Linked DNA regions of Lonchura striata. The protein of the gene in region 1 purifies or fractionates together with the protein of each later gene. This does not show direct contact. Links are inferred from orthologs where the notes say so. Each region holds a gene or a part of one and is shown on either strand. Other genes may lie near its edges. The genes, in order: RABGGTB, RAP2C and PTP4A2.

Region 1 (7,820 bases):
AAACATCCCAGATATGTAGACAGGACCAAATGGTGTTCGTTCACTAAGACCATGCATACGCATTAAGATATGCTGGTTAAGTTTACCACAAAAAATTTTACATCAGCATTTCTGAACACTTTTTCACTTTGGACAGCTACAGCTCAATTTAGTTAACATGAAAATATCTCCTAGTAATATCAAGTACATATTTAAGAACTAACATATCTAATTTGTAAGGTAACAACCTCGAATTATACCTCCCTTATACTGAACTGGAATATGTGAAAGGAGCTGGATTGGACAGTTTGGAAATGTTCAGACATCACAGCCTGGAAAAACTTTAGTGTCCTGGTTCTCACAGTATTCAGAGTAATTCTAGAGCTAAAGTGGCAATAATGATCAACATTACAGCATCCTGTCCTACCTAAGGGGTTCAAACCCACCATCTTAAATCCAGCATAGTTTCTGCCTAAAAAAGAATGCTTTATTACTTTTTGTAATATCATTAAAATACTTCATCCAGAAGATTGAATGAAAGACACTCACTGCAAGCAATCAAGCCAATTGTTCAGAAGTGTTTGAGCCTTTTTGGTACTTTTTCACACAATGGTTTGCATCAGCAGAACAAAAAACCAGAACAAAATAAAGGCATGAGCAATAGTGAGAAAATAAGTCTATAACAGAGACAGCTGCAGTGAAAAAAATAAGATAGAGAGTTATTTCTTATCAGGGGGAGCATATTCACCAAATAAATTAAATGCTCAACAGATTAGTAAATTTTTTCAATTATACACCCCAAATAAACTCATATAAAAAAAAAAAATTTGCTCTTGTTCTGGTCATACATATCTGTCACCTCAGCGTGCACTAAGAATAATTTATAAAATAAAAAATTATCTATAAAATGCTCCAATAAAACCTGTAGCTAAGGAGGATTCCAAGATAACTTACAAAACTGGCAACAATGCTGTAACCATTAATTGACCATTAAAGGTAAAACATTCCCAAATAGGACAATTTTTGGAAAGTGACACAGCTAAATCCTACAGTTTTGTCCATTAGATTATTTTTTTTTTTTAAATAAGATACTGAAATAATTTTTGTCATGGGCCTCCAACAGTAACTGGTTCATAAATCTACAATCATAAAAACTTAATCACAAACACTTTTTTCTAAAATTACCCTTCTACTTTTACCTGGACAGCACTGAGGGTATACAGAAGATGAGGATCATGACCTATGCTGGCACTTATTCCACCACACTCATGTTGACACGATTTGATAAATGACAGAATTTCTTCTTTGTTCATTCGGTGCAGCTGCCCCATGAGATCCATCGCTGTCAGTCCCCAGTACACACCACTCATCCTCAAATACTCCGACATACAGTATTCCTAAATAGTGTATTATTTTAGTTCTTGATCAGATGAGCACACCATCAATATAGCGCAATGAAAATACATTAGTTAACTTCCACAAATATCTTAGCTTCTAGTTAGTGAATCGTTTTCCAACCATTTAGCAACTACACATCAGCCACTCAGAGATATTCGGTACATCACGCACATGTGTATATACATACTCATACATATGGGAAAATGTACATATAGATATCAACACGTACTATACTCCCTTCCTCCCTGTATTTTTCTAGTTCAAACCATCAAGCTCAATGTCAAATTAGCCACGAACAAGTAGTTGGGCACCAATTCACTTCAGATGACTTAATATCTTGACATCCAAAGAAGCCCTCAAATTGCCACCCTAACTAGTCTCAGATAATAACAAGTCTATTTCAAAGTGCCAAAACCCTTACAATTTAAAGTTGCACTAGAGAGTGAAATTTTTTATTGAATTCTCTTGCATTGATTACATCACCTGCACTACACAAACATTATTTTTTACATGCACTACAACTGAAAGCAAGTGCTTGGCATGCTTTTCTGAACAGTAAAGGTAACCGCAACTTTTCTTCATGTAAGCAGTTATTGACAATTTTTACTGCCGGAAGTGGAATTCCATTTTTGTGGACTACATCCAACCACTTATGATTGCAAAATAGATGTAAGTTGTCCCATCAAAAGAGTAACATGCAAATGCAACTCTACTTGTGCATTCTAGTGGATAAAGAAGCTAGTAGGCTGTTTCTCAGGTCTCAGAGTAATTATAGAGCTAAAATAATAATCTTCAAAATTATAGTCAGATAATACATGACAAAAGTCACCACAGACATAGAGACATTAACAAGGGCACCTTTGTTTTACACTTTGGATTGCAGGGTAAAAAACAATTAGCTAGTTAACATGCATCTAACCCTTAAATCTGAGCCAATAAATAAAGGTTATTACTGTTAACAAAACCACAGCTGCACTGTAACAAACTGATACGTACATAATCATCTTTCTTTGTTCCGTATGAAGCTATATAGTCCGCATGTTTTTCTGAAAGTAATGTGCTTGGGGCATCGGGTTTTATTATAACATCCTTTTGCGGTGTTCCCTGTAAAAAGCATCAAGAAGTCAGTTGCAATGTCAGATCAAAACGTTTTAGCAACTTGGTATAAATGAGCCAACACCGGTGGCTGTGACTTCGGGAAAAAAACATCCCTCTACCTATTTTGAGCCTAGGTCAGGTTGCGCATCTCACGCCATCACTGTTCAGCCTGGCTAAACCCTTCCCCAGGAAAGGCTACGAACCAAACCTTGCAATAAAGCTAAGAAGTAACACCAATTCGCCAAGGACACCCTGAAGTGCCGGACGCAGGAGCCCTTCCCCGAGCCCGGCCGTGCCGCCCCGCGCCCCCACGACTCCGCGCGGCCCGGCCGAGCCCGCGCGCTCCCGGGGCCGCTGGAGCGGCGAGAGCCGCCCCGAGCCGGCTCGGCGCGGCCCGCGCCCCTCCAAGGCCGGTACAGCCGCGCGCCAGACGAGCCGCAGCACGGAGCCCCGACCCACCATGTTCTCCGCACGCACAGGAGGAGGCGAGGAGGCGAAGCGGAAGGCGGAAGGCGGCGGCCGGCGGGGCCTCGCCGTGCCCCACAGGAAGAGGCGAAGCGGCGAGGCGGAAGGCGGGGCCGAGCGGCGCCGCTGCTCCGCGCTGTGCTCTTCAAGGGGCCGGCAGCCGCCTTTGCCTTCTGACGTGCGGCAGGTAAAGTCTGCTCCAGCTGTGCACTTTCTTCCATCACAGCAAATAGGACAGCGTTTAGAAATAACTTCGGTTTCCTTCCTCAGGTCTGTGAAAAAGCAAATCCAAGAATTTAGTCGCAGGTAAAATGGGTAAAGATAGCTGTCCTTTTGCTCAAAACCATTTCTCTTGCTTCTTCATTAAAATTGTCTTGGGTGACTCTATTCATGATTACCAACTCTTGATGCTGGCACATGTTCCCCCTGAACTATACCAGGCAGGAACATCAAAGAAGTAGTACTAAACATAATGCTGTGTTGCATAGGACAGTCAAAAATAAGGTCTGTTTCTTACATATGTCAAATACTTACTAAAGATGTTGCATTATGGGTTTTGGGGGAAAATCAGTAATTTATAGAGACTAACTGCTTTCTTTAAAGAACTGATTTTCCAGGTATTTTACCCAAGAAGTAAGGATTGCAGGCAGAGCTTATACCTGATGACAGCAGTAGAACCATCCGGTAAATTCAGATGAGACATGAAAGAGACCAGACAGAAGCAAGGACATTTTGGAGTGAAATTGGAAATTACTTACTAGAATTACTCAGGTTTGAAGATATCTCTTGAAATCATGGAGCACAACCCACCTACACCAAGTAGGCTTAGCTAGAGGCAGGTTGTTCAAGACACTACTTGTTGAGTTTTGAGAGTCAAATGGAGACTCCATCACCTCTGCCAGCATATAACATCCCTCCTGTCAATGGGTACTATGAGGCTGGCTCCCTCCCCTTTATTGCGTCCCATCAGGTATTCATACACATAGATAAAATTATCTGAGCTTTCCCTTGTCCAGGCTAAAAAGTTAGCCTCTTCTCACATGACAGATGCTTCAGACCCTTAATATTTTTGTGGCCATGTGCTAGACTCCCTTCTTTAAGTCCCCCTCTTTCTTATTCAGGGGAGCCTAGAACTGGATTCAGTACAGCCTCACGTATCCAGTAATTTGTCTAAGAACTCCAGGAAATGTCAATTTTGCCAGCATTGCCAGGAAAAGTCTATCCAAGGTTAAAAAAAAATCCTAATGCCTTCTTCTTGGCTGTTTTTGCTGCAAGCATAGCTAAGTATATACATTGATGGAAAGCAGTAATAGGTTTATATATACAAGAACGACATTAAGCTATTAGAGAGTACACAAAGGAGGGCAGTCAAGATGGTGAAGGGCCTTGTGGGGAATCTGTATGAGGAGTGGCAGAGGTCACTTGGTCTGTTCAACCTGTACAAGAGTCAGAGAGGAGACTAATCACAGTCTATAACTTCCTTGTGAGGGGAAGAGGGACAGACACTGATTTCATCTCTCTAGTGCTCAGTGACAGAACCTGAAGGAATGGCTGGAGCTGAGTCAGAAGGTTTACATTTGGTATTAGAGGAAGGTTTTTCCCCCATAGTATGGTCAGGCACTGAACAGGCTTGCCAGGTCACAAGCTCCAAGGCTGCCAGAACTCAAGCAGCATTTGAACCATGCTTTTGGGCACAGAGTGGGATTTTTGTGCAAGGCCAGGAGTTGGACTTGAGGGTCCTTGTGGCTCCCTCCCAGCTCAGCATACTCTTTGATTCTGTGTTTAAATATACTGGATTTTAAATAAAAGACATATTGTAAATCATTATTAAGTCATTACCACTTGAAGTGATTCATCCTCGTTTAATGTGTACATGCTTCAGAGTGTAAAGGCCAGACTCTCTCAAGCTGATACTGATACTGCTGACTACTATATAAATCCCCAGCACAGATGCACATAGACGGTAGCAATGCAGGTCTTCCTGCTGCTCAGCTGGAATAGCTCTTCAGCTGCTTCGGGCAAGAGCATAGAGAAACTGAAATACAGCTATTAACCTACTTCAGAAATTGTATTTTGGGTTAGTTGTCCAGTGTAAGTGATATGACAAGCAAAATTAATACAAACTAACCACACTTCTCTTAAAAATTTTTTATTTAAATGCAGCATTGACTGTCAAAAATTACACTCTATCTTACTTTATACTGAGAACAGAATCAGTGCTTAATAATGAACAGAATAAAAATATTTTGAAGCTTTTTTTTTCATCCCTTTTTAATTCTATTGAGAAACACACTAAAATCTTCCATAAGAACACAGAAGACTACAGCAGTGCCAGACACACTTTATATATTTCTTTAAGCCTTAAATTTGCCAACATGTTCACGAGCTATGATCATCCTTTGAATCTGAGCAGTTCCCTCATAAATCTGAAAAGGAGAATTGCAATAATGTTACTGGGTGATTTTTAAAAAGGTTTTAACAGGTATACATTTTTCAACCTCCATGGCACTAATCCAATGTGGATTACGATGTGCAGAAGACAGAAAAAAACCAGAGAAAATTCCAGTGTGCCAGAGTAATTACAGTGGGCTAAATTAAATGTAACTCATACAAGATACTGAGAAAGTCTTGTTCTCTCAGGTGCTCCTAACCTAAAGTCAGTAGGGCTCTCATGAAAACAGATTACAACATTCCTCTTATTTGAGGAAGAAAATACATTATTTAGATTTTTCAAAGTAGGATCTGAAATCATGGTTAGAAGGGAAGAGATGACTTGTCCTTAAGCGTTTTCTTTAACTAGACTTTCAAGGTCATAACCATATGTTGTCTTTGATCCATTTATTTCCATTGCTTCTTATTAACTAGTACTCTCTCCCACACGGTTTTCTTTGTGGTTTTCTTTATTCTTGCATTTTCTTGAAGAAACAGCCTGCATCATCCCTCTGTCCTGTTTGTTTGCTGGTAGCAAAGTCAAAAATAAACAATAAAGCACCTATGAAGTTCTAATGCCAAAGGAGGACATATGCTCCACAGGCATACTGCAATGTAATGCAATGGCTGAGGCAACATAGTCTAGAGGCTTTAATGTTTCAGCTCCCACTTCTGTCAGAACTTTGTTTGGCAAATTGCTGAAAATTATGCAAATTCACTTACAGGAATAATCTTTCCAGGAACCTTAAAAGCATTTTAAAAATAAGAATGCTATAACCTGTGTTCACATTAGTGTTCTGGTTCAGAACAAGCTGTTGATTCCCAGGGTGAATTCTCTGCTGCTGCTTACCCCATGTTGATCCAGTCCACCGAGAAGACTGTGTTTTGTGAGTACTAGGTGCCTTCTGAAACCAACTGAAATGGAAGCTCTGCTTTCTCTCTATACTAAACATTCACCAATCCCTAGGAAAGCCATAATGGTACAAGCCTGCACCTGGACCCTAACAGTTGGATGCCTATCAGGGACATAAATTCCAAGGGACCAAACAGGTTTGCTATGAACTCAGACTCGTCAAACTGCTTAGAGCATAGCTGTCAGGGCCTCAGAAGCTGTTCCTGCAATCTACCAAACTGCTCCTATTGCACTAAAATTTGCACTTACTGATGAACACAGCCATGTAAATCAAGTGTAAAGACATCACAACTCACAATCTTACTAAGTAATTACAGGAAAGATTTTATTTATAAGCTGATGGAAATAGTTTCAAGACTCTCTGACAATTAAAGAAAGGAAGTTTTCCAAATTTAAGAGTTTCCAAACCTAAGAGTTTCTATCAAAGTAGCCAAGATGTGTAGCTGGACAAAACTAGGACACAGTAAGGACATGTAAAAATGTTATCAGTAAACACAATAAAAGGATTGTGTAATTCAAAAAAAGACCAAACATATGAAAGATAATTTGAAAAATCAAGATTTCTGCATGCAACATATGGCCAAAAGTACCTACCATCTGGAATTGAGCAATGATACAGCAAAGCACAGTGAAGTGTAAGATATAATCAAGAGACATGGACAAAATATTTGCAAGACAAAACCTTTCCTGAATTTTATTGGGGATGAAATGGAACTGACAGTCATAAAAAATTTAATACTAAGTCTGATTAATTAGAAAAACAAGCCTACTTAGCCTTGCATTTGGATCACTGTAATGAAAAAACTAAGTAATAATGGGAATTTGTTAAATCAATCTCAGTCAATCAGAGATTCAACCCTCACACCATCATTCTCTAAAACAGCATGCAACCTGACAAGAAAAAAATCTCAATCATAAATTTCAATGAGTCATTCATTTCCTCTTTCACGAAAGTGAAGTTATTTATAGGGACCTTTAGATTACAGCATAGCAGTTGTCTTTCCTTAAACTGAGAAAAATTAATTCTTGGCTAGTGGCAATAATAGTTTGCATTTTGAAGTCAGCTGTAAGACAAATATTAACTGCCTAGAATCTTGGATTGACAGCTGTTATAGTTAGCAATCATTAGAGGTCATAGTCTATGTGCGTTTCTTGGTATCATCTACTTTGGTATGTTTTATCTAGTCACTGGTACTGTTAGATATCAATAAAGATTACTGGTTTTGCCAAATGCAAGTAAAATATTCTTGCTGAATGAAGAATTGCAGCATAGTATATGCTAATATACTAATTACAACATGACATGGAATAATTTCTTGACAGTAACACTGCAGTAAAAAACTTGAGTATTACAGTGAACTATGGGCTAAATATGAGTACAAAAAGGTCTTGTTAAAAGAATGGATAATCACTCTACATTGTGTCACACTTCTGTTGATACAACACATTTTACATGTCATGGTGCCAGCTAGGATAGGGTTAATAGTTTTTCTAGTAGCTGGTCCAGTGCTGTGTTTTGTGAGAACAGTGTTGGTAA
Region 2 (7,800 bases), on another chromosome or scaffold:
GGTGATGAAAAAAAGACCACACATGTGAAAGGCCAAAGGCAGCTGTCCTGGAGGGGAAAAAAATAAAAATCAAAGCAACACCTGACACAGGGGAAACTTTACAGAGGGCCCTCTGAACGCTGGACTCTCATCACACCTCTTTTGAGTCACTGGAAAAGGAGAGCTGTGCATGGGAAGCCATTTTACAGTGTGTTCTCTGCTCTGGAGATTTGAGATGAAGAACACTTTGTGCATGCCCTTGACTGTTGCATGTGGGCTTTGAGCCACTTCTCACCACTCAGGGTGGTTCTCTTGCAAAAGAAACTTATTCCACTGATAAGGCAGAAGGGTACTATCAGTTTCTGTGCTACAGAACTTTATATCTTTTAAACAAGCTCAAAGTCTTCTCAGTAAAACTACTGGGAAACTTGGTCACAATAATCCCATTGAACTCCAAGGTAACTCCCATTACTGGAAAATAACTGAGATACCAGCTACAAGAATAAACCCACTGCAACATCACAAAGCACTTATGCAGAATAACACAGCATCAAATACAGCACTGACAGTCAAAATAGGTGCAGATGAGATCACTCATTTTGTGTCATTGTAAAATTACTGCAAGCAAATGCAGCTTTCCCTGACTAACCCTACTGAGGTAACGCAAGAAGTCCATTTGACTCAATCATGTGCACAATCTCCCATCTTTTGGAGGGAGGCTGCCTCATTTTACACTCCCTGTCCCTTTATCTCTTACTGAAACACCATGTTTAGGCACCTCAGTTAGTTATGTTCCACCAACCTGCTCTGTATGGCCATGGTTGAGGTTTTTCTTAATATCTCTCACTGGACGATGCAAGTTGTACAACACTGATCTTGCTTTTCAGGCAGGGAGGCATAGTTCATTTGCCTGACGATCTCAGCAAACAGTTCATCCACCATTGTTTTGCTCTTGGCTGACGTCTCCATGAAGGGACAGCCCCACTCCTGAGCCAGGGCTCTGCCTTCTGCAGATAGGACTTCCCTCTCCGACTCCAGATCCACTTTATTCCCCACCAGGATCAGAGGAACTTTCTCGTATCTCTTCACCCGGACAATCTGGTCCCTCATCGGCTTGATATCCTGGTCAAACAATCCAGCTGGTTAGTGCATGCAAGGAATCACATGGAATTGCTACAGAACCACTGTAGGAACACATTTTAGTAACCCTCACGTGCAACTGGACATTAAAAATACACCAGAAGACTTTTTAAACTCACAGTCACGCAGATCTAGAATTCTGAGAAAATTTAACACCTATCACTAAACTACTTCTTCTTTCATATAAAAGCATGCACACTTTAAAGAATTTATGTGCATAAACCAACAGAAAGTGACTGCTGTGCTCTCAGCCAGAGGAGGACACGGTACTGCTGCTCTGAAGGCTGGTTTCACCTTTCTGAAGAAGTTGTCTCAAGTCTAACGACCTGTAACCCTAGCAGGGGCGTGCCATTACACAACCATTTAGGAAGTTTGTGCTTAGTTTACAGCTTGAGAAAACCATCAATTTAAATAAAGCCTTCTCAGTCCTGGAATGCTTAGAATAATTCATTGTGAACACATTTAATCACATGTAAGTAACCAAATTAGATGCTGTAAAGAGATTTTATTACCTAGAGATGCATTTATTCAAGTCTGAGCCGACACGGGGCGTTTACACTTGAAAGTCTGAGTCAGCCTCCTCTGCCCCCTGAGTGTTTTAAGTTGCTATCGGTACTACAAATTCTTGCATAGTTCTGAGACAAAGCAATCCCAGCGTTTGAAGTTACCACCGTGCAAAGAACTGCAGAGAGGTTTACACCTACAGCCTTCAGAGCAAACACTACAGACAGACGGGAATAATTAAATATTAACAAGATTACTGCACATGCATTTCTCAAATAATGAGGGCTCGCTGGAACCCAAAAATCAGTGAAAATGAGAGCAGAAGCATCCCAATGTCAGTGCTGTTGTTTTCTAGAGATAAGCGTGTCTTCAGCTCGCACAGGGTTGTTTCGAGGCCTCTGCTGAGATAAGGTTTAGCCTTCAGCAGAAGCAAACAGTGGGGGTGTGGAAGGTCTTGCCAAGCAGCTGGAACACACCCAGCTCAGCAGCCCAAGCCAAGGCAGGAGCTGCAAATTCCCAAGCTGCACGGAGTGCTGCTAAACTCACTTACTGCCCAAAAACAAAGCCCCGTTTCTACAGGCAGCTTAGACCAATTACTGGCTGAGACAGTTCCTTTTTTTGGAGAGTTTTAATAGTAGAAATCAAATCCAGAACCACAAATTACCGTGTATAGCTAGTTCTGCTCTCCAGTACTCCACCTACGCTGGGAGAGCATCGAGCTCGTGCTGGACAGGAATATATTTTGGGGGCAGGGAGCGGAAAATAGCAGCTCACTTAACAAGTCACAACTGTAGAACAATGAGACTCTCTTCAGGAGCAACTGCAGAAACATGCCTTTTAGGAAGGAGAGGGGGTTGGAAGGGGAAGTCTCAGTTTTAATATCGAGTGATTTCTTCACAAAAGGGGATTGCCAAGAGATTTCTGTTGGGGAAGTGGGAGCTAGGCATTGTTCTCCAGCACTGCGTGGGACTTAACAATGGTGGCACCCTGATAAGTACCTGCAAAGCAAGCAGTTTTCCACCGGGAAGCAGGGCTGGTAAACGCGCTTTCAAGCTGGGCATTTACACTTTCGGCCCTTGGGAGATAAAGCGCTGCCACGCACACGTGGCTACCCCTAAAACTTCCTGCTCGGCCCGGGCAGGGCCGGCTCCGTGCGAGGAGGGGACGCCGGGCTCGGTTACCTGGAAGGACTGCTGGTTGACCAGGCTGTAGACGAGGATGAATCCCTGCCCGTTCTTGATGTAGAGGTCGCGCATGGAGGCGAACTGCTCGGTGCCCGCCGTGTCCAGGATCTCCAGCACCGAGGGCGACGAGTCCACCTCGATCTCCTTGCGGTAGAAGTCCTCGATGGTGGGGTCGTACTTCTCGATGAAGGTCCCGGTGACGAACTGCACCGTCAGGGCGGACTTCCCCACCCCCCCGCTGCCCAGCACCACCACCTTGTACTCCCGCATCGGGCCCCGCTGGCCGCTCCGCGCCGGGCCCGGCCTAGGGCAGGCGGCACCGCGGCCCTCGCATAGCCCCGGCCCGCCTCCCGTGAAGGGCGAGGCCCCGCTGCTCCCGCGCCGTCCCGGGGGCAGCCAGACCCCGTCAGCGCCCGGCGCGGCCCCGGCCCCGCTCGCTGCCTCAGCGCCGCGCTCCCGCCATCGCCGCGGGACCCGCCCGCCCGGAAGGGTTTCGCTGGGACACCGGAGGCCGCCCCGCCCCGCCGCCTGCGCTCACTTCCGGCGTGCTGCGTCACGGCCCGCCCGGACTGCGCCGGGGGACAGGTTTGAGTGTGGCACCGAGGCACCCGCGCTGTGCCGGGGGACAGGTTTGCGTGTGGCACCGAGGCAATGTGCTGTGCTGGGGACAGGTTTGGGTGTGGCACCGAGGCAATGTGCTGTGCTGGGGACAGGTTTGGGTGCAACACCGAGGCAGTGTGCTGTGCTGGGGGACAGGTTTGGGTGTGGCATCGAGGCACCCGCGCTGTGCCGGGGGACAGGTTTGACTGTAGCACCGAGGCACTGTGCTGTGCGGGGGGACAGGTTTGGGTGTGGCACCGTTGTGCAGGGGGACAGTTTTGGATATGGCACCGAGGCACTGTGCTGTGCAGGGGGACAGGTTTGGGTGTGGCACCGGGGCGCTGTCCCTGCCCGCCCCCAAGATGGCGGCGCCAAGATGGCGGCCGCCGTCCCGAACCTGAAGGGCGGCTCTGGGAGCGCCGCGTTGTCCCTCCACGAGCTCCTGCTCGGTACTCGATAACTTGAACAAACTCCTTAACAAACTCCTCTCAGCTTCCCGCGGGGGAGGGGACCCGGGCTGTGGCACCGGCACCGCGGTTCTTCATCCCTGGCAGCCCGCTGGGCTGGTGACAAGAGGGCCACCAAGTCACCAGAGGGATGGAGCTCCTCTGATATGAGGAAAGGTTGGGACTGGGATTGTTCAGCCTGGAGATGAGAAAGCTGCGCGGTGACCTAATTGCCCCTGCCAGTGCCTGAAGGGAATTTACAGGAAAGACAGAGAGGGATGTTTACATGTTCACAAATACATGTCGCGACAGAAAAGGGGGAATGGGTTCAGACTGAGAGAGTGCAAGTTCAGATCAGCTATTGGGAATAAAATCGTCCCTGTCGGGCGGTGCGGCCCTCGCACAGGCTGCCCAGAGGAGCCGCCCCAAGTCCTGCAGTGTCCGAGGCCGGGGTGACACGAGATCCCCTTTAAATCCTTCCCAGCCCAAAGCATTCCTGACTCTGCAGGCTGCTGCCTCCAGGTCACAGCTAGAGGTACGCAAGGTCAGGCAAGATCTGCCCCGTGTCCTTGCACTGGTGCAGCTGGCACAGGGCTCACTGCCCGGCTCTGAAACCCCCAGGGAGGAGCGGCGGAGCTCCCGGCCGGGCTGGGCTCAGGGCAGGGGTCAGTAGTGACAGCAGGGGACAGCAGGTGACAGCAGGGGACAGCAGGGTCAGCAGGGGTCAGCAGGTGACAGCAGATGACACCAGGGGTCAGCAGGTGACAGCAGGTGACAGCAGGGGACAGCAGGGGACAGCAGGGGTCAGCAGGGGTCAGCAGGTGACAGCAGGGTCAGCAGGGACACCAGGGGTCAGCAGGTGACACCAGGGGTCAGCAGGTGACAGCAGGGGACAGCAGGTGACAGCAGGGTCAGCAGGTGACAGCAGGGTCAGCAGGGGACAGCAGGTGACAGCAGGGTCAGCAGGTGACAGCAGATGACACCAGGGGTCAGCAGGTGACAGCAGGGTCAGCAGGTGACAGCAGGGTCAGCAGGGTCAGCAGGTGACAGCAGGGTCAGCAGGGGTCAGCAGGTGACAGCAGGGTCAGCAGGTGACAGCAGGGGTCAGCAGGTGACAGTAGGGTCAGCAGGGACAGCACGGCACCAGCGCCACCTGCCCTGGAACTCCCCTTGGCAGGAGGAACCGACTGAAGGAATCCCCGTCTGTTTTCTCCCTAAAATAAACCCCCCCAGTCACTCCAGACCCACGCGATGATTCCCACCTGTAGGAGCAGCTGCCCTCCAGTACAAACACGTTTGTTCTGCTGCTCCCTGCAGGATTTCAGCAGGCACGTGGTGAAGTGCTGGATTTGTTCCTTTCCCCTTTGCATCACCTGTGTGATTGCCAGTCCAGGGCACACACAGCTGCTGCGTTGTGTCCATCCTGGGTTTCCAGCAGCCATAGAGAGGTGCCTGGTCAAGGCGGCTAAAACCATCCAAAGGTACTGAGGAGGTGACTCTGCTTGTGGCTGTTTTCACAAACAGCTTTATTTTGTTCACTTGCTTTCCATAAAGACAACAGGTCCATTATGGGAAAAGGTCAATGAGGATGAGGACTTTTATCCTCCAGAACAAATCTTACTTATGTTACACCAAATTTGACTCACTCTTCTTTATCAAATATAAGTAAAAAGCCCTTGCCTTCCTTCACCGTTGCCTCCAGAATTGTGTTGTCAAGTGAATTGCTGGCAGGAGGCAGACGTGCCTGGCTGGAAGATTTTCATGTGGCTGGTGAATCAGCTCGAAAATGTAAAAAGGTGAGCATTAAAACAGGCTGCCTCCTACTTTAACCCCATTAGAAATCACGAGTTGTTGCGAAGTACCTTAATGCACTCAGGGTGCTCGGGACAAAGGAAAGCCGCAGTGCTCCCAGAGGAGCTTCCCATCTAATTTTAACCATGACACAATCGGTGACAGTGACAAACGGGGGGGAGGGAGCAAAGGAGCAAGGGAGGGTGAGGGTGACAATAATAGGATTACACGGTCACTTAGGTTCATTATGTGCACGTCTTTGTGGCACTGCTGGTCCATTATGTTTGTGATGGGTGGAGGAATGACTGCGGGAGAGGAAGGGGCAAAGAGCACAGCGGGAGAAAAGCCAAATATATTTTTGTGCAATTGACTTTAGCCAGCAACGCCTCGCTCTTGGGCTGAGGGGAAGAACAAGCAGGTGGACACAGGATTGGGAAAATGGATTTTTTTTCCCTCCTCCGTAAATCAATCCCAGTATTGATTTGGATTGCCAAGATTTATTTCCCAGCTCACAGCACTTTATACCTGGGCATAGATGCCTACAGCTGAAAAAAGGGCCAATCCCAAAGTGCACCAGGCTGTTTGTTACCGTTAAGACAAGTCATTCCCTTCATTAAACAGTTTGCACAGCTCTTTCACCGCCTTGTGCCCTACCACATATCCTGAGCCACAAAAATAGCTGGTGATGTAAAAGGTTTTGAAAGTCTGGATGGGAAGAGCTGCTTCTGCCATAAATGGCCAAGCCCTGAGCCAGCCGTGCAGGGCACCTCCTGCCAGTGCCACCTCTGCCACTCCCTCACTATCACCATCCCCTCCCCGGAGGTGCGGCACATCCCGGGTCAAAGGCCTGATTTAATCTCTGCTGTCACTTTCCCCACGGCTCCTGCCAAGAAGAAAGGAGCAGGGCTCAGCCCTCGGTGCTGCCCCAGGAGGGTTTGCCCTTTCTCAGCAAAACAACCTTCCCAAATGAACATCCGGGCAGGATTCGATTGCTGCCAGAGCAGCTCTGTGCTGTTGATGGACTCAGCTGCTCTATGCTGTGCCCGCAGCCAGCAACAATAAAGCAGGCTCTTATTAAATTAACCTGCTAAGACACAGATCCTGCAGGGATGTTCAGGGAACAGACAGATGGCACAAGCAAGGGCCAGGAATAATTGCAATCCCCATCTCACCAATGGGAGAGATGAATCCTGCCCGGTGCTGTGCCCAACAGGGAGGTGGGACTGGGAGCAGTCACCCCAAGAGGTGACAAAAGAGCCTCTCCAAGCCATGGATGGAGTGAGGAGTCTGGAACGTGTCCTGTGGATGCCAGGGTGGGCCTGCACCACCCCCAGCAGCCAAAGCCTCCCCACTGCAGCCACAGTGTGGGTGCTGTACAGCCACCACCTCCTGTGGGCTGTCCCCGCTGCCATCATCGATCTGCTCTGACTCCCTACGTCTGCCCGAGCTACAAAGCAGGCTCTGCCCTGCCAGGAAGGCTGCAGCAGCTGCTGAGCCAGGGCAGCAGGGATAGCCCAGATTTCACCTCAGTTGCCATCTAGCTGGGGACGTCATTTGTGTAAATACATGCAAAACCAGCTTAAGACCCAGCGTCCTTTCTTCTTTGCCTCTTCCAGAGGTTTTGCTAATCCACTTATTGTGCCTTATGGTGTTCAGCGTGGAAGCTGCAGGGCAGGGACATTCCTCAGGGCTGGAATGGCTACTGGAGCACCGGGGGCTGCTCTCACATGCAGCTCATTCAAGGAGGTCGTCGTGTTACACCAGTCACGGAACTGCAATGACAGCTTTTGATCTAAGCCCTGTCAAATTCCAGTGAAATATGTCTTAGGGGTTGGATGTGTCCACCTGGCCCAGACTCCTCATTCTGGGGCTGTTTCAGAACCTGCAGAGATGCTATTCTTTTTTGCCAGCTTTTCCTGCCAATATAGAGATGACTCAGAGGCAAATCCTGAGGACCTTTCTCAGAAATTTCTGATTTTCTGCCATCCCTCAGCTTTTAGCCATTACTTTAGTCGCAACAAAAGGCATGATGGTACTTCAAAAGAAGTAAAGGACATTTTCCAAAGCACTTACTAATTCTGAAACAGAAGTGGGACTGCACTGAAATATAATTGATACACCAAGAAGATTGTTGGGATTTCTGGGAGAAGCATCTC
Region 3 (7,354 bases), on another chromosome or scaffold:
GGATCTGCCTTCCCAGGTATCAAACCTGGAATTCCAGAGGGGGCAAAGTCCTGGCAGGAGCCAGGGGAGCAGCCTGAGCTCTGCCCTGAGGCAGGGAAAGCTCTGAGCACTGCAGTGGGGAAGAGCAGGATGGATCCCTGCAGGGAATTCAGCCTGGAATCATTCACTGAGGTGTTTTTTGAGGTGTTAAAAAATAAATAAATAAAAAGAGAAAAAAAAAAACACAACTAGATCCTGAGTAAGACCCACATTCCTGGCTGTGCATCCACACTCCTACCTTAACTCCAGCTGAGTTGATTAAATCCAAGTATTTCTACATGTTGAGTCATAAGCAGACAGAGTTTTCTGGCTGCTGCTAGTGGTGGGTATCTCTTTTTTTTTATTTTTTATTTCCTTCCCCCCCCCCTCTTTAAATCCTAACTGCAGTTCTGAGTCAGACCCTGCCTGGTTCGTTCGGGGAGTTTCGAGGCGAGTTTCCATTTATGCAGGAGCTTTTTCAAAGCCAAATTTCTGCCTTCCTCCTCCTCCTCCTCCTCACCCCGAAACCAGCCGAGAGAGCGCACACTGCCCCGGGGAGAAAATGCAGGTGGTGACTAATCACAGCCCAAAGAAGCCAATTCCAGCACTTCCCCACAGCCTCACCTGTGCTCCAAATCCTAAAGCTCAGCTCCTTCTCAATCCCAAACTCACCCCGAGCTGACACTGCCCAGAAATCCGCCCCTGCCTGACTCAGACCTTCCCGCAGGTCACTCGCAGCACCCCCGGGCCACGCCAGGATTTTTTTCCCGAGGCGTTGCTCGGCTCAGAATCCATCGGCTCCCCCTTTCCCAGCCCCAAATCCCACGGGGTAACAGCCCTTTATCCAGACAAACCGGCCCCACAGCCCTGCCCCCAATTCCCACCCCAGGAAAACCACCATATCCTGGACACCCCTTCCTTTCCTGTCCCCCCTCCAGCCTGAGAAATGTCACCCCTCACCCCCAGCTTTTTCCAGCCCTAAACACAGAAAAAAAAAAAACTTCACCCTTTGCAGGCCACTTCGAGGATTCTCTGTCCCACCCCTCCAAAAAATACATAGCTTTTATCAAGCTTGTCCCCCATTCACACAGGAATAGGTAACACCCCTGCCCTCAAAACACTCTCCAAATGCCCCCCAACACCAGGTAAAAAAACCCCAAAACCAGGCACAAACTCCCCCAAAAGCCAGGTACAAACCCCTCAAAAACTAGGTACAAATTCCCCCCCAAAGCCAGGTACAAATTCCCCAAAAAGCCAGACACAAACCCCTCAATATCCAGGTACAAAATCCCCCAAAATCCAGGTACAAATCCCTCAAAAACCAGATACAAATTTCCCCAAATCCAGGCACAAATCCCTCACAAACCAGGTACAAACTCCCCCCAAAGCCAGATACAAATGCCTCAAAAGCAGATACAAATTCCCCCCAAAAAGCAGGTACAAACCTCTCAAAAACCAGATACAAATTTCTCCCAAAAACCAAATACAAATTCCCGCCAAAGCCAGGTAGAAACCCCTCAAAAACCACATACAAATTCCCCCCAAAAACCAGATACAAATTCCCCCCAAAGCCAGGTACAAATCCCTCAAAAAGCAAATACAAAATCCCCCCAAAGCCAGGTACAAATTCCCCCCAAAAACCAGGCACAAACCCCACATCCCACCCTCCTGCAGCCTCCCTGTCCCCCCCAGGAAATGCCGTCCCTTCCTGAACATCCCCCCAAAACCACACAAGGCTGGGGGTGGGCACTGAGCCCCCCCACATCCCCAAGATGAGGAAGACCTCCCAAAAAAGAGAAGGGACCCCCAAAGCTGCAGGTCAAAGCTGTCCCCAGCCAGCCCTGGGGACCCTCCACAGGCACAGGGGGACCCCCAGAGCACCCCCAAGCACAGGGGGGACCCCAGAACTTTGTGCTGCCCCCAAACCTCCTCTTGGCATGCAGGGAGCCCTCAAAGCCCCGCAGGATCCCCCAAACAAACCCCACAGGCCGGGAATTTCCTCCACAACGGGAAGGACTCCCCAAACCAGCCCCTGAAGCTGGGCAGAGCCTTGGGGACCATCAAACCCTGCACCCCCAAACCTCCTGCATCCTCAAACCCACCCCAAACCCTAAACCCCCAAACCTACCCCAAACCCTGCACCCCCAAACCCATTTCCAAATCCTGCACCCCCAAACCTCCTTCACCCCCAGAGCCACCCCAAACTCTGCACCTCCAAACCCTGCACCCCCAAACTCACCCCAAACCCTGCACCCCCAAACCTCCTTCACTCCCAAAGCCACCCCAAATCCTGCAGCCCCAAACCCACCCCACACCTCCTGCACCCCCAAACCCTAAACCCCCAAACTCACCCCAAACCCTGCACCCCCAAATCCTGCACCTCCAAAGCCACCCCAAACCTCCTGCACCCCCAAACCCATTCCCAAACCTCCTGCACCCCCAAACTCACCCCAAACCCTGCACCACAAACCCTGCACCCCCAAACCCACCCCCAAATCCTGCACCCCCAAACCCACCCCAAACCCTGCACCCCCAAATCCTGCACCTCCACAGCCACCCCAAACCTCCTGCACCCCCAAACCCATTCCCAAACCTCCTGCACCCCCAAACTCACCCCAAACCCTGCACCCTCAAACCTCCTTCACTCCCAAAGCCACCCCAAACCCTGCACCCCAAACCCTGCACCCCCAAACCACCCCCTCAGCCTTCCCCAACCCTGACCCTCCCACAGCCTCCCCCAGAGCACAAAACCCCCTCCAAACCACCCACAAGGGCCGAAGGAGACTCTGCAGGCCCCCCAGAGCAGGGAACCCCCTCCAACCAAACACGCCAAGCAACACCCGGGATTCCCCGAGCCCCTCCGCCACCTCTCCCCCAGCCCCCGGGGCGGCGCGTCCCGCCTGGCCCGGCGCCCTCCGCGGTTCTCACCGTGGGCATTGAGCGGGCCGGGGGCCGGGCAGGCTCCGTGACGGGGCTGGGGCTGCGCTGGGCCCGGTCCGGCCGGAGACACCGAGAGCCCCGCGCGCCGCCACACGGCTCCGAGCGCACAGGCCGCGCCCCCCCCCGCACACCCACGGCCCGCGCGGTGGTACGGTCCGCCCACACCGGCCCCCGCCTCGGGGCAGCGCGCTGGGCGCGTCCATTCCAGGCGTGCGGGGGGAAAGAGCCGGGAACGGAGCTCGTAGCGCTTTTCAGTGTCTGGCGTGGCCTCCCGGGAAAGCTCCCGTCACGAACTGCACTGACGAGACAGGGAGCTACAGAGGTTCGGTGTGAGGAGGAAATTCTTCCCTGTGAGCGCGGCGAGGCGCTGGCGCAGTTGTGGAATGCCCCGAGCTTGGAATTGTTCGAAGCCGGGTTAGGTAATGCCTTGAGCAACCCGCTCCAGAGGGAGGTGGCCCCTCTCCGTGTAGCGGAGAACGGCTCCTTCCATCCCCCGTTATATCCTGTGGTACAGGCCTCTCCCCCCCGTTGGGCATTGGTATAGCCCGAGGGCGGCTCGCCCTGACCGTCCCCAGTCACGCTTGGTACGTCCCGGCCCCCCCCGCACTTGGACCGGCCCTCTGGCCGCACGTGCACACGGAGCCTTCCACGCCAGCATCTCTCCCCCCCCGCTAGCGCAGTGGTACAGCCCGCTCCTCCCCACCGCGCTCAGTGGTTCGGCCCGCCCGGGGGTTCCCGCGGCTTCCGCTGCCCCGAGCCCGCGGCGGGAGCGGGAGCGGGAATCGGGACCGGGATCGGGGACCGGGAGCGGGAATCGGGACCGGGATCGGGGACCAAGGACCGGGAACGGGGCTCGGGATCGGGGACCGGGAGCGGGAATCGGGATCGGGGACCGGGAGCGGGAATCGGGGACCGGGGACCAAGGACCGGGAACGGGGCTCGGGATCGGGGACCGGGAGCGGGAACGGGGCTCGGGATCGGGGACCGGGGACCGGGAACGGGGCTCGGGATCGGGGACTGGGAGCGGGAATCGGGGACCGGGGACCAAGGACCGGGAACGGGGCTCGGGATCGGGGACCGGGAGCGGGAATCGGGGACCGGGAGCGGGAATCGGGACCGGGATCGGTGACCGGGACCGGGACCGGGGACCAAGGACCGGGAACGGGGCTCGGGATCGGGGACCGGGGACCAAGGACCGGGAACGGGGCTCGGGATCGGGGACCGGAAGCGGGAATCGGAGACCGGGATCCGGGACCGGGGACCAAGGACCGGGAACGGGGCTCGGGAGCGGGAATCGGAGACCGGGAATCGGGACCGGGAACAGGGACTGGGAGCGGGAATCGGGAGCACGACCGGGGACCAAGGGCCGGGAGCGGGAATCGGGTACCGGGACCGGGGACCGGGAGCGGGAATCGGGACCGGGATCGGGGACCAAGGACCGGGAACGGGGCTCGGGATCGGGGACCGGGAGCGGGAATCGGGATCGGGGACCGGGAGCGGGAATCGGGGACCGGGGACCAAGGACCGGGAACGGGGCTCGGGATCGGGGACCGGGAGCGGGAACGGGGCTCGGGATCGGGGACCGGGGACCGGGAACGGGGCTCGGGATCGGGGACTGGGAGCGGGAATCGGGGACCGGGGACCAAGGACCGGGAACGGGGCTCGGGATCGGGGACCGGGAGCGGGAATCGGGGACCGGGAGCGGGAATCGGGACCGGGATCGGTGACCGGGACCGGGACCGGGGACCAAGGACCGGGAACGGGGCTCGGGATCGGGGACCGGGGACCAAGGACCGGGAACGGGGCTCGGGATCGGGGACCGGAAGCGGGAATCGGAGACCGGGATCCGGGACCGGGGACCAAGGACCGGGAACGGGGCTCGGGAGCGGGAATCGGAGACCGGGAATCGGGACCGGGGACCAAGGACCGGGAACGGGGACTGGGATCGGGAATCAGGGACAGATCGGGATCCGGGAGCGGGATTGGGATCCGGGATCGGGGACCAAGGACCGGGATCGGCAATCGGGATCGGGGATGCGGACCGGGATCGGGACCGGGGACCAAGGACCAGGATGGGGATTGGGATCGGGACCGGGAACCAGGATCAGGATTGGGGACCGGGACTGGGACGGGGACTGAGGACCAGGATCGGAAACCGGGGATCGGGATCAGGGACCGAGGATCAGGATCGGGACTGGGATCGGGGACCAGGATCGGGAATCAGGGACCGGGATCGGGAATCAGTGACCGGGATTGGGACGGGGACCGGGCACCAGGATCAGGACCAGGGACCAAGTATCAGGATCAGGACTGGGATGGGGGACCGGGATTGGCACGGGGACCGGGGACCAGGATCAGAAACGTGGACTAGGGTTGGGATCGGGGACCAGGATCGGGACCGGAGGCCGGGATCGGGAATCGGGGACTGGGATCAGGATCGGGGACCGGGAACCAGGATCGCAGACTGGGGATCAGGATCAGGATTGGGAATCGAGGATCAGGATCGAGGAACCGGTTCCGTGGTCAAGAACACACGGGGAAACACCAGCTGGGGCACGGCGATCCCAGCTGGAGAACGGCGCTCCCGGCTGGAGCACGGCATTCCCGGCTGAATAATCCACGAAGGGGCAAAAGTGAGGGTGAGAAAAAAGGAACCAGCAAACCTTTGTCCCTCAAAATACCCAGAGAAGCTGCTCAGTGCCTCTTCGCTGGCTTTAATGGCTCTGCAAAGTCATAACCGGAGTCACATAAACTCTGATAATTGTGAAAAACGCCAATCACTTGGTTTTTCAAATTTTAAGTTTAATAATAATGAAATGGTTATAAAAATAGTAATACAATTAGAGCAATAAAGTTTAGAGTTAGGACAATTGCAAGACAATAAAAAGCAAAGAATTACGGATGTCTGGATGTTCTTGGACACTTAAGTCACAAAAAGCATCCCTTGTGAACAAAGGAATAACCTTAAAAGCAACAGCCTGTTGCATATTCATATATCCCTCATGGTTATGTATACATTCTATTTAAAACAAGAAACTGTTGTATGTCAACTAATTCCATTAATCCCCACGGTGTCTTGGAGTCTGAGCAAGGCCTGAAGAAATTCGCTTCTTCTGATACAAAACTCATAAATTCCTTTTCTTTGGAAGATTTAGGTGTTCCTCAAAGCGAGTATCTCATTCCTAAAAAAAAAAAAAAACCTTCCCCCACATACATAGTCTCTATTTTAACATTATGTTGGGAACCTAAAACTGTATTTAGCACACTACTTAAGGGAATTAATACAAAACTTGGAGTTACTCTCCTCACATCCACCATTCCCTGCCTCCATCACCCCCTGCTCCCACGACGGGAGTGACTGGATGGATTTCAAAGTGGCAAATACTTTGTTCAGTGCCGAGACACGCATCTTGAGCATTAATGTTATTGCCTTCACAAAGGAATCCTAGTTGCTCCTTAGCAACACAGGATTCTAAGTTTGCTGTTTGCCACTTTTCATTCAGCTTTCGTGCCCACACTCTATGCTCTGAGGGGTTTTCTTATGATTTAATTCTAGTGCGATGATGGGGTGGGTCACATAAACAGTGGCATTACGTATAGGAAGCACAAAGGCAGTGGGCACATTAGAAGCAGGATCACAGGTAAAATGGATGAGTTACTCTGTCCCCACATCCAACATTCCCTGTCTCCATCATGCCCCACTTCCATGAGGGACTGGATGAGTTACTCTCTCCTCACATCCATGATTCCCTGCCTCCATCACCTCTAATTCCACGAAGGACTGGATGAGTTACTTTCTCCACATCCACCATTCCCTGCCTCCATCGTTCCCCACTTCCACAATGGAATCGATGAATTACTCTCTCCTCACATCCATGATTCCCTGCCTCCACGCCACTGGTTCCAGGACAGACTGGATGAGTTACTCTCCCCACATCCACCATTCCTTGCCTCCATCGTTCCCCACTTCCAAGACGGACTGGATGAGTTACTCTCTCCCCATATCCACAATTCCCTGCCTCCATGCCGCCGGTTCCACAAAGGACTGGATGAGTTACTCTCTTCACATCCACCATTCCCTGTCTCCATCATTCCCCACTTCCATGACAGACTGGATGAGTTGCTTTCTCCACATCCACAAGTCCATGCCTCCATCATTCCCTGCCTCCATTCCCTGCTTCCATGACGGACTGGATGAGTTACTCCCTCCTCACATCCACCACTCCCTGCCTCCACAACGGATGGGATGAGTTACTCTCTCCCCACATCCACCATTCCCAGTCTCCATCATTCCCTGTCTCCACGAAGGGCTGGATGAGTTACTCTCCACATCCACCATTCCCAGTCTCCATCACCCCGATTCCAACCCCGCCACCGGCCCCGCGCCATTCCTGAG

Evidence for each region.
Region 2: the proteins of RABGGTB (region 1) and RAP2C purify together in Homo sapiens (co-immunoprecipitation; 3 studies listed by BioGRID and IntAct, counting the BioPlex papers as one, with this or other methods). This does not show direct contact. The link is inferred for Lonchura striata from reciprocal best matches to the Homo sapiens genes RABGGTB and RAP2C.
Region 3: the proteins of RABGGTB (region 1) and PTP4A2 purify together in Homo sapiens (affinity purification with mass spectrometry; 3 studies listed by BioGRID and IntAct, counting the BioPlex papers as one, with this or other methods). This does not show direct contact. The link is inferred for Lonchura striata from reciprocal best matches to the Homo sapiens genes RABGGTB and PTP4A2.

What each region holds. Positions count from the first base shown.
Region 1 is NC_134611.1:4,027,029-4,034,848, forward strand, and holds the start of RABGGTB (geranylgeranyl transferase type-2 subunit beta), read right to left. Parts: upstream 3,020-7,820; 5' UTR 2,938-3,019; coding exon 2,935-2,937; intron 2,482-2,934; coding exon 2,374-2,481; intron 2,208-2,373; exon of another isoform or gene 2,132-2,207; intron 1,377-2,131; coding exon 1,179-1,376; intron 1-1,178. Other genes in the region: ACADM (medium-chain specific acyl-CoA dehydrogenase, mitochondrial), read right to left, coding at 5,295-5,366. UniProt on the Homo sapiens protein: Catalyzes the transfer of a geranylgeranyl moiety from geranylgeranyl diphosphate to both cysteines of Rab proteins with the C-terminal sequence -XXCC, -XCXC and -CCXX, such as RAB1A, RAB3A, RAB5A and RAB7A.
Region 2 is NC_134616.1:7,565,715-7,573,514, reverse strand, and holds the start of RAP2C (ras-related protein Rap-2c), read right to left. Parts: upstream 3,098-7,800; 5' UTR 3,078-3,097; coding exon 2,805-3,077; intron 1,102-2,804; coding exon 823-1,101; 3' UTR 782-822; intron 1-781. UniProt on the Homo sapiens protein: Small GTP-binding protein which cycles between a GDP-bound inactive and a GTP-bound active form. May play a role in cytoskeletal rearrangements and regulate cell spreading through activation of the effector TNIK.
Region 3 is NC_134628.1:1,142,332-1,149,685, reverse strand, and holds the start of PTP4A2 (protein tyrosine phosphatase type IVA 2), read right to left. Parts: upstream 3,100-7,354; 5' UTR 2,947-3,099; intron 1-2,946.